3 linked regions of the Xenopus tropicalis genome follow. The protein of the gene in region 3 interacts with the protein of the main gene of each other region in a pairwise test. Links are inferred from orthologs where the notes say so. Each region holds a gene or a part of one and is shown on either strand. Other genes may lie near its edges. The genes, in order: rap2b, rap2a and rundc3a.

Region 1 (3,831 bases), on a different chromosome or scaffold from region 3:
AGTTTAAAACAGAAGAGACGGGCTTTTTCAGAGCCTGTCCAGAAAATAAAATAACACATGTTAACGGTCTTGGTACATCACAATTTGTCATCTCTGGCTGATTTGCAATGTTAGCCACTGCTGGTATAGTAAGAACAGAAAGAGGGGCGTAACACGTACTAAAACAAATGCTTAAAGACTCTTCCTGTGCCACTCTACATTCTTGCTGGCATGGTCTGCTGGACACAGAAAAGGTTAATCGCCATCCCCTCCAAAAAATGTGCAAGACATGGAAATTACAATAACAGGCTCAGAAATAGGTTCCAGGGACAATAGATTCCTTTGTCTACGCTTGTTCAGTGTGATTACTGAGAGGAAACTGTTAAGTAGTTTTCAGAATAGAAGATAATGAGATTTTGTTGAGGATTTTCACAGGTTGGCACCGGCTGGAACAGCTGAATTTTGAAGGCACTCTAAGGACACAGGGCACTATTGACCCTGGCTCACAATTAAGTCAATTCACTGTATATTAAATAGCTAAGCATCAAAAATCAGTTATTGCCAGCACACATAAAACATAAACATCTGTAACACTTTCACAGCTGATAAGAAAAAATACTAATAATCTTCCCAGATCCCCATATGATACAGCAGGTAAACAAAATAGATTTCATACACACACACACACAAACACACATACCAGCTAGGAGGCCACATTGGGCGCCCAAGCCATGTTGGCATCTTTTATCTCATTTTAGATGTGCAATACTTCTGAATGTATACTCTGTAACAATCATCCAACTTTGCATAGATACCTAAAATGAAAGTCAGCAGGTGAACTGCAAGTCTGGGAGTGGGGAGAGACTCCATTCCATTTGGATATTTCTGTGTGCCTTTCAGAACTTAGATAAGGCTTGATTTAAGGAGTAGGTCCCTTCATGCACTCACCCATTTCCAGGCCTTTTATTAGTGGAGGTGGGGCCCAAGATCAACCACTCAATAGGAGGCCCCATCCCCTGTAGTAAGCAGGGCTTACCAACTTGTGGCCATGCAGCTGTTTCTCAACAACAACCCCTAGCAACCCCAGGCAGCCTTTAATGTTCAGAGGATGCTGGGCGTTGCAGTTTGGAAGTAGCTGAAAGGCCAGAAGTTGGATAGTTCTGGTGTTTCTATTTACCCCTCTATACCACAGTTATACTCCATTCCTCAGGTGATCCTTCTCCATGCTGCTACAGGTGCTGCATGAACAGTCTAAGAGGTACAATTATGGGCCTTCTCCTCCCAATTCCTCCCAAACCCTTGTACTCAGCAGGGCCCCCAATAGGCAGCCCTCCTAACTGCACCCCAAAGGGTAGGTCTGTCCATGTCTGTCTGCAAACAGGGCATTGGTACGTGCTGAGGCATCTCCAATGTATCTCCTTTTCGTGTTGGCCAAAGCTTCAGTGTTTTGCCCGCAGAGCCCTGGGCACATGGAATAGACAAGACCCATTAGAGCCCCCCACATACTGTATGCTAGCCACTTGATGAGCAGATGACATCCCCAGGACAAACACGCCCCTGTGCTGCCAGGCAGTGGGAGTCAATGTAGCACCGGGGCTCAGAGAATGACACAGGAGCAGCAGCGATCATCCCCGTTGGGCTGGGACGCGTAGTTCATCTGCCTGACGATCTCGGCAAACAGTTCATCCACGGAGCCTTTATGTTTGGCTGAAGTTTCCATGAAGGGGCAGTTCCATTCATCCGCCAGGGCTTTCCCTTCCCCGTAGGACACTTCCCTCTCGCCTTCCAGATCCACTTTGTTCCCGACTAGAATCATGGGCACTTTCTCGTACCGTTTCACCCGGATGATCTGGTCCCTCATGGGCTTGATGTCCTGGAAGCTCTGCTGGTTCACCAGGCTGTAGACCAGGATAAAGCCCTGGCCGTTCTTAATGTACAAGTCTCTCATGGAAGCGAACTGTTCGGTGCCTGCAGTGTCCAGGATCTCCAGCACAGAGGGCGACGAATCCACTTCGATCTCCTTCCGGTAAAAGTCCTCTATGGTGGGGTCGTATTTCTCTATGAACGATCCGGTGACAAACTGCACGGTCAGAGCCGACTTCCCCACCCCGCCCGATCCAAGGACAACTACTTTGTATTCCCGCATGGCTCTCGCCTCCTGCTGCCGCCCGCCTGTAGCTCCGCTGCTGGGAGAAGCGCGGCTTTCACTTCATCGGTTCCCCTGCATATAAAGCTCCGGGGCGGGGGGAGCCACCGGGAGTCCCCGGGTGTATGTGTTGCTTCTAGTAAGGGACCGGCCCTGCAGCTCCCTCTCTCAGGCTGCGCTCCTCTCCATTCCCTTCCCTGGCAGCCCACACTGTACTTATCTTGAATTACACTTGCATTTTTTGTAACTGCCTCTTGCCCATTGGCTGATGCGTCTCTTGGCTCTGATTGGTCGATAATAGCGCCCCTTTGGTTGGTTCGGCTGTATAGCCGCAGAGAAAGTATTTTCATTAGTCAGGCGTGACTCATTCACTAAGGCAGGGATCTCCGAAACTGGCTGTGTAGGTCTTGTGCAACTGCTACTCCCAGCGGCCGGCATCCCTTGGCAACCTAGTGGGACTTGGTAGATCAGTCCTTTTTCTGCGATTAATAGTTTCCAAAAATATTTTGGCAACTCAGTATATCTGCGCTCACAGGGGAAAATATAGCCGTGTACTTGTATGCTATACTATGTAGGTGTGTACTAAGCATGCTGGGAGCTGTAGGATAGCGATAGGAGGGTTGTGGGTTGGCCATCCATGAGTATTATTGCTTATCTCTAACAACCTGGTATTGGCCCTGGTATTTCTAGTACAGAGAAGCCCAAACAGCCACTACAAGGCCAAGATAAAGCTCCAGTCTGTGGCAGCTCACAAAAGCCTTTCTGGTATTCCCAGGCCTGCAGTGGTACTATGGCTGATGTTTAATGTTATAATAACTGCTTATACTAACTTTATAACAACCAGTCATCAGAATCAACTCACATTTCGCTTTAATTTGCAACAGGTTAGGCCAGAGGAACACTGGGTGTTTTCTGCCGACACAAAAGAGGAAAAAAAGTGAAGGACTCGAGTTAAATGAGAAGTTGTAACATGTGACCTTACATATTTTGTCCAAAATGTGGTACAAACACCTCAGATTTTACTAAATTGTATATATAGGGATTCACACAGGCTGAATTTGAGTGCTGGCAATGTTATTCTCTTTTGTGTGTGCAAATGATGGCTTCTTATATTTTGTAGTAGCTGGTCAACTCCCGAGCATAGGTGATTCCAAACGCAGTCACAAATAGCAGCTGGTTAACGCTATAGGGTGGGTTAGACCGAACACGGACGATTTCTCTTTGTGTCGTACACTGGATATTTTATCCTTTGCTGCCAACAAATACTGCTGTGCAACTGCCATCACTCCTAATATGATTGAATGTAAAGTGTGGGCAAAATGGTCCATGTGCCAGGCTGTGGTATGATCCAGCTGAAGTATCTGTTTTATGCATTCAGTTGGCCATTCAATTACATTTAAAAGGTACTTCCATCTAAAGCCACTCCTTGCACTTGGTTGGCTCGACATTGCTGTGGCCTCCTCTTGTGAACTGCATGCTTGACCAATGGGAACGCACAACAGCCTGTGTCAGCTGAGGCAGTGAATTTGCACTTTACAAAGTTAAGTTCAGATGTGACTGATGCAGAGCACCACAGATGACATCCAAACACCAAAGATTTTTAGCGCAATTGCCTGCAACTGCACTTGTTTTAATGCTTTACCCACAATTGTATTAGGCTTATCGCTTCCTTGTGGCCACAATTACCTGGAATTAAAAAGAAGCTG
Region 2 (3,796 bases), on a different chromosome or scaffold from region 3:
TGATTCCGAAAAAAAGGCAGACTGGACTGGCCAAAAGTATCCAGACACAATTTTAGTCAAAAGTAACCAGAAACTCCATCTCCATATGCTGAGGACTTCCCATACCTGTCAGTTGAACTGAAGACGCTGCTAGGATGAGTAGTGAAACGTCTTAGCAAGTCCAGTTGCTCTAGATTACTTATACTAGATATACCATGACCTGGATGAATTAAAATCTTCATAGTCATATTTAAAATGAGAATGAGATATCCTCAGTTGGAACACACACTACAGTAGAGTTCCAACTAGTCACTGGAAGCAATGTCTGGACAAAAGTGTTGCGAGTAATGGATTATTATGGTTGAGCCGCCGCACACAAGTTTATAATCACAATTCATGGTGAAGACACAGGGGGCAATTAGTCACCGCAATTTAAAAAAAAACTCAGTAGTGGCGACTAATTGCAGAAATTGAACTGCTATAGATGTGACTAATTGCGTGTCATTTGCAGCAGGGCAATTAGTCACTGCAACTTTTTAAAAAGTTGCAGCCACTAATTGCCCCGTGTGACTTCGCACCACTGGACTTTGGAGTAATGGATTTTTTTTTTCTTCAGGCCAGCATTCCTCATCACATAGAGAAAATGCACTGGTGTTCTTTATAGCTACATATTATGGGAAGTATTATAATAATTATACTTTAAATAATAGACATTTGGGGAGATATTAAACTGAAAAGGGATTAAACAATTCTAGTAGACACCAAACTATCGGAGGCTGACACAAAGCTGTTTCATAACTAGGAATTCATTCAGGGAAAAGAAGCACAGTTCCACTATCAACAAAGAAAGAGCTACTTTATTGTATGGGTAGTCAGGTTTGAGAATGGAGGATGACACACTGTGTAAAATTGAAATTAGTGAATCAAAACCAGACTGTATAAGAATGAAATGAACCCGATGAGCTACAGGTCTAAGAGCAATGGCTATCCTAACCATTTTGTTGCTTGCTTTTCAGCTTACAGTGGGAATCATAACACTTGTACCTGTGGGCCAAACAACTATCACTACAGTTTTTACCCTACTGAAGTTTTGATTTTTGCCTTTTGATTTTTTCATCAAAACTGAATCCCGAAGTGCCCAAGTAGGCAAGCTAGTGTTAATGGTCATGCACCAACCCATGGCATTAATATACAGAAGGAAAATAGCTCACCAATACCCATAAGCTCAAAGCCAACATGAAAAAACCCATGTACCACTGTAGCCCTTTGGATACTCATGAAAAACTGTTTCTAACAACTACTTAGATATAAATGAATTCAATGAGGCACAACTTGTGGACCAAAGCTGCACTGTTGAATTGGATCTGCTGGTATCCCACAACAGGTAGGATAGATCAAGTCTACCCGCCCTATCTATAGTCTTTAATGGTCACAGCATGACTGCTTTATATCACAGCATGATCGTTTCAAGCATATATATATATATATATATATATATATATATATATTTTATAACTTAAATGTCATATATTTACTTCTAACTCATTTAATCGCCAATATAAAGTGTATTAACCATGACTGATGGTATTTCACACATTTTTGCATTGTTTTTTCTGGTGCTACTAGTGTAGCAATTTGTGTCTAAAACAACTTGTACTATATATATATATATATATATATATATATATATATATATATATATATATATATTATACACTTCTCTTGTGTATACATGCACAGAGGTTTTCACTAAATCATGCCATTAAATAGAAAGCCTATCCAGATGTAGACAATTTGTGTACAGCCACAGACTTAGATGATAATGGCAGGATATTCACAGATGCTTGTTATGTTCATATGTAATTAAGATGCTTTTGGCTGAGGGTTTCAGTGCCTTTCAATCCCTTTACATAAGGTCAGTAGAGCATATGTGCATGTTTATTTAAAGGCAAGTTCATATATGATACATGATGACTCAGTAGAATGACAGTAGGGAGCAGCATGTGTTGTGTTTATATATATATATATATATGAATACCCTGAGGCTCCACTGTGCAGCAAAGCCATCAAGCAAAAAGCTCTGCAATTCTGCCAGTGTCTGAGATTCCTCTGAGGAGCCTCATTGTTCCCTGCTGTAACAGAGAGACTATGGGGAAAGACCCAGACATATTAAATATCTATGTCAGTCATACTGCAGGGACCAATATTCTGTTTCCAATCTATAATATAAAGCATTACATGTACAAAAGCTGGACTGGGCAGACAAACAAAGAAAAGAAATAAATGAAGGATGCAATAGGGGAGCAGCCACAGCAGAAGGCTCTACCCCAGCCTGCCCCAATGGGCACTAACAGGGCAACAGGACAATGAGCTGCACAGGAGCCAATGAGAGGCGGCTTGGCTGGAGACAGGGGGGCAGTTTACTGGCAGGTTGAACAAAAGTAACTAGAGACTAAGGGCCCCCTTTGTTCTGTGCAGTAAATGATGCAGAGCCGCGGCCCCACACCTGTGCTGTACGGCAATGCCAAGCTGGCAGCGGAATGTGAGAGTTGTAGTTGAACAGCTGGAGGGCCGCGTCCAACCCTACTCCCCCCCCCCCCCCCGCTTGCCTTTTGACGCGGATGATCTGGTCCCTCATGGGCTTGATATCCTGGAAGCTCTGCTGGTTCACCATGCTGTACACTAGGATGAAGCCCTGCCCGTTCTTGATGTACAAGTCCCGCATAGAGGCGAACTGCTCGGTACCGGCCGTGTCCAGGATCTCCAGCACGGAGGGGGACGAGTCTACCTCTATCTCCTTGCGGTAGAAATCCTCAATGGTCGGGTCGTACTTCTCGATGAATGTCCCTGTGACAAATTGCACGGTCAAGGCCGACTTGCCGACCCCGCCGCTTCCCAGGACCACCACCTTATACTCACGCATCGTCCCCCTCCGCTCCCTCACAGCGCACCGCTTCTCCGCCTCCCCCTCCGTCCTCGCCGCCCCTCCTCTGCAGCGGCTTTACGAGACATGGGAAAAAGGCCGGGCTACGTGGGCCCGGTGCCCGGAGCTCCCCTCTCCCGGAGCGGCTGTTATTCGCTCATTCGCCCCCCAGTGACTCGCGTCGGCCTCTAACTACCCACTCCCCGCTCTGCCAGTGCTCTACGCCCACTTTGCTCGTCATGGCCCTCGCCTCTCTACCATTGGCTCCTTCACCTGTCGCCTTAGCAACTACCGGTCCTCAGGAACACAGGGAGGAGAACGGGACTGGCATCACCAAATCCGCCTTCTTTTATCAGGATGCTGTGAGGAAAAAAAGCCATCGCTCGGTCCTCAGCGGCAGCCAATCAGAGTGGAGTATGACCTTGGCGTCATACTCACAAGCCAATAGAAAGAGACCAGTGCTGAAAATGGGTTTGAAATAAAGATCCGCTGCCCGTCCTATGAGTCTCTCTATGCCAGGGATCCGCAACCTTTTATATTTGTGAGCCGCATTTAAATGGAAAAAGTTTTGGGGAGCAACACAAGCATTAAAAAAGTTCCTGGGGGTGCCAATAAAGAGCTATAATTGGCTACTTAATAGCCCCTATGTGGACTGGCAGCCTACAGAAAGCTCTGTTTGGCATTATACTTGGTTTTTATGCAACCAAAACTTGCCTCCTTACCAGAAATTCAGAAACGAGCACCTGCGTTGAGGCCACGGGGAGCAACATCCAAGGGGTTGGTGAGCAACATGTTACTCATGGGCCACTGGTTGGGGACCACTGCTCTATGCAATGTATAATATGAGAACATATTGCATTAAACGTAGAAATATTAACTCTCCATTTATATATA
Region 3 (3,600 bases):
TCCTTCTATTGCTCCATATACCCCCTCCCTATAACTCCTTCTATTGCTCCATATATCCTCTCCCTATAATTCCTGCTATTGCTCCATATAACCCTCCCTATAACTCCTCCTATTACTCCATATAACCCTCTCTATAACTCTTCATATTGCTCCATATACCCCCTCCCTATAACTCCTTCTATTGCTCCATATATCCTCTCCCTATAATTCCTGCTATTGCTCCATATAACCCTCCCTATAACTCCTCCTATTACTCCATATAACCCTCTCTATAACTCTTCATATTGCTCCATATACCCCCTCCCTATAACTCCTTCTATTGCTCCATATAACCCTCCCTATAACTCCTCCTATTACTCCATATAACCCTCTCTATAACTCTTCATATTGCTCCATATACCCCCTCCCTATAACTCCTCCTATTGTTCCATATAACCCTCCCTATAACTCCTCCTATTGTTCCATATAACCCTCCCTATAACTCCTTCTATTGCTCCATATAACCCTCCCTATAACTCCTCCTATTGTTCCATATAACCCTCCCTATAACTCCTTCTATTGCTCCATATAACCCTCCCTATAACTCCTCCTATTGCTCCATATAACCCTCCCTATAACTCCTCCTATTGCTCCATATACCCCCTCCCTATAACTCCTTCTATTGCTCCATATATCCTCTCCCTATAATTCCTGCTATTGCTCCATATAACCCTGCCTATAACTCCTCCGATTGCTCCATATAACCCTCCCTATAACTGCTTCTATTGCTCCATATAACCCCTCCCTATAACTCCTCCTATTGCTCCATATTACCCTCCTTATAACTCCTCCTAAAGGACAACTGTATTAATTTCCTATTTTTTGCAAACGTACAGGGGAGGAGAGATAATGAAGCAGTAAAATAAGGAGAAGCTCCATATATGTTGATAGTATAAAGGCAGCTGAATAGGATATAAAGCCTCAGGGGTCCCCTTGACTTCACATCCTCTTTCCCTCCCTCCCTATCCGGAGCCGCTTCTCTCTCACTCCTCTCCCCCCGCCCCCCCAGCCGCTCGTTCCGGCCCTGTGACGTCACTTCTCCAGCTTCAGCACCAAGGACAGCAGCCTCTCCCCTGCGCTCCATCCTTCGGCCGCTCTATTCTCCCTGGGCCGCTCTCCTCACAAGAGGGGGACAGGCAGCCTGGAGGCCAGCGAGAGGAGGCGGGGAGGGGACCTGGGTGGAAGGGGAAAGCTGCAGCCCTGCTGGTGGTGGCGGAGGAGGAGTGGAGGGATCATTTGGGGAGGGGGGCCAGAATCCTGTGCTGTGGATGGAACCGAGCTTTATCCAGTCGGCCATGGCTCTGGGACTGCCATCTAAGAAGGCCTCCTCCAGGAACATTGCTGTGGAGAGAAAGAACCTACTGACTGTGTGCAGGTGGGACGGGGGTGTCTTGGCTTTACAAGGCATTGAGGGAATAATGGGGGCAACGAAAATCTGAAGGGGGTGAGAAGATATGGTTAAAAGATATGGTTTGTATGTAACATTGCAGGGTGGGTAGAGGAATAAATATGAGTTAAATGATTTAAAATAATTCAGCTCTGGCACCTATAGGGTCAATTTTATGTCAGGGCAGAAATCCATTTATTATGGGCTCCAATTCATTAGTATGGCCCTAACCTGAAAGGGGCCTTGGTGTCAGCAAAGCCTGCCTGCTATTGTGTCCAGTAATTGTATCCTAATCTTTATTATTTGGGCCCTTAACCCTTTATAGTGGCCAGGGCCCCCCCTTGTCTGACTCCAGTGGTTTGGCTATTGTTTGGCTCTCGGGAGACAGGGACAGACATGGGCAGAAGACAGCGGGTCAGGTGACCTAAGATAGCCATGCTGGTTAGGTGCCTTTGGGATTTCCTGTGAGTCAAACACATATACAGTGTCACCTCAGTACAGAACATGAACAGAAAGTAACAGAAACACAGCATTTGCATGTATTTGTTATAAAAGAGTTCCAATCAGCATCCTTCTGGCTGCTGTTGAACTACAACTCCCATCACCCCCTTGCTAGCCATCTTACACAATGCATGTGCAGTACATATAACATGCAAGGACAAATGTAACCTTTATCATGGATAGCCAACTAGTGACTTTCCAGTCATTGAACAAACTTTGGCATCCCACCTACAGTTATCTTTCACAGCCCAGCCCATGTACAATATATGCACATGTATATAAAACATGGTATTTTAGAGATGTTCATTGAGTATTTCTCTAGACTACAACTACAGTATCTACAGTATCTGCTGTCAGAGAGAACCAGAAATGTAGTTTTGCAACAGCTGGAGGTATACAGGTTGGACACCCCTGGTTATTCTTTCCTAAGCTGGAAAGGACTACAGAAAATGGCCTACTGATGAAAACAATTAGAACAGCGAAAAGGATGGGAATACATGCTTGGGTCATACATGTTTTAGCACATAATGGAAGGGTGTCTTTATGGCTTATTTTATGTCCACGCAGTCATCAAGAGAAGCAGAGAGCAGCACAAGCAACACAATGAATCATATCCCGTGACTTCACTTTCCCATTTCTCTTTTATCATCCATCTCCCTTAGCTAGAGCCAAGCTGTGCTGTTCTATTTCTGTGACCTAGCCTACATTCCTTGCCATCTCCTTTCCTGTACTGCCCAATGCTTTCTCAGACCTTCACTGCTCTTTCCTCAGCTTCTTGCTGACATTTTCATTTACCTTTTTACACTCCATTGTTCTGTCCTGTCTCATCTCCTGCTCCCATATATTCTTTTGTACCCCTCTCAGTGCTTACTCTCTCTTTTGTCCCCTTCTGCCTCCCCAGGTTCTCTGTGAAGACCCTGCTGGAGAAATACACAGCGGAGCCCATTGATGATTCGTCGGAGGAGTTTGTGAACTTTGCTGCTATTTTGGAGCACATCCTAAGCCATCGCTTCAAAGGTCATACAAAAAATATTAGTGGTCAATACCCCTATGGCAACCAAATGTCCAGGCCAAGCTATATAATTGAAACTTGCCCATTCCTCCCAATCTGACCGGTTTCTTTCTTTCTTTCTTGCTCCAGGTCATGTCAGCTGGTTTAGCACAGATGGCCAGAGAGGATTCTGGGATTATATTCGCATTGCCTGCAGCAAAGTCACAAACAACTGCATTAGCAGCATTGAAAATATGGAGAACATTAGCAGTGCCAGGGCAAAGGTCAGCTTTGGTGGGACAGCCTTGGGATGAGGCTTCAGGCAATTTTACTGGGTCACTTAGCATAGGATATATAGGATATTGAGGGGTTAAAGGGGAACTCCATCAAAACACAATTTGAGCTTTTTGAAGTAAACATAATTTCAGCAAATTTGCAGCATACATCAATTAAAAAATATGCAGCCTTTTCATTATTTTTAAAGTAAAAATATGGTTTGGAACAGTTCCCTAAGCTGGGCCCCCTGTTCCCCTGCTGGTCTGGCTGACTGCTATGAGACTCAAATAAAATGTAACAGTTGTCGACCTTCCTCCCAGCCTGCATCCTCCAAATCCCACAATCCCCTGCACACGTGATGTCAATAAGGAAAGGAACATCACAGTGCAATGCATTGTGGGTTATG

Evidence for each region.
Region 1: the proteins of rundc3a (region 3) and rap2b interact in binary tests that used the Homo sapiens proteins (3 or more experiments, as listed by UniProt). The two-hybrid records come from large-scale screens. The link is inferred for Xenopus tropicalis from reciprocal best matches to the Homo sapiens genes RUNDC3A and RAP2B.
Region 2: the proteins of rundc3a (region 3) and rap2a interact in binary tests that used the Homo sapiens proteins (3 or more experiments, as listed by UniProt). The link is inferred for Xenopus tropicalis from reciprocal best matches to the Homo sapiens genes RUNDC3A and RAP2A.

The regions. Positions count from the first base shown.
Region 1 is NC_030681.2:117,180,585-117,184,415, forward strand, and holds the start of rap2b (ras-related protein Rap-2b), read right to left. Parts: upstream 2,237-3,831; 5' UTR 2,126-2,236; coding exon 1,577-2,125; 3' UTR 1-1,576. UniProt on the Homo sapiens protein: Small GTP-binding protein which cycles between a GDP-bound inactive and a GTP-bound active form. Involved in EGFR and CHRM3 signaling pathways through stimulation of PLCE1.
Region 2 is NC_030678.2:121,611,855-121,615,650, forward strand, and holds the start of rap2a (ras-related protein Rap-2a), read right to left. Parts: upstream 3,010-3,796; 5' UTR 2,903-3,009; coding exon 2,589-2,902; intron 1-2,588. UniProt on the Homo sapiens protein: Small GTP-binding protein which cycles between a GDP-bound inactive and a GTP-bound active form. In its active form interacts with and regulates several effectors including MAP4K4, MINK1 and TNIK.
Region 3 is NC_030686.2:18,580,364-18,583,963, forward strand, and holds the start of rundc3a (RUN domain-containing protein 3A), read left to right. Parts: upstream 1-1,061; 5' UTR 1,062-1,307; coding exon 1,308-1,414; intron 1,415-2,828; coding exon 2,829-2,944; intron 2,945-3,068; coding exon 3,069-3,202; intron 3,203-3,600. UniProt on the Homo sapiens protein: May act as an effector of RAP2A in neuronal cells.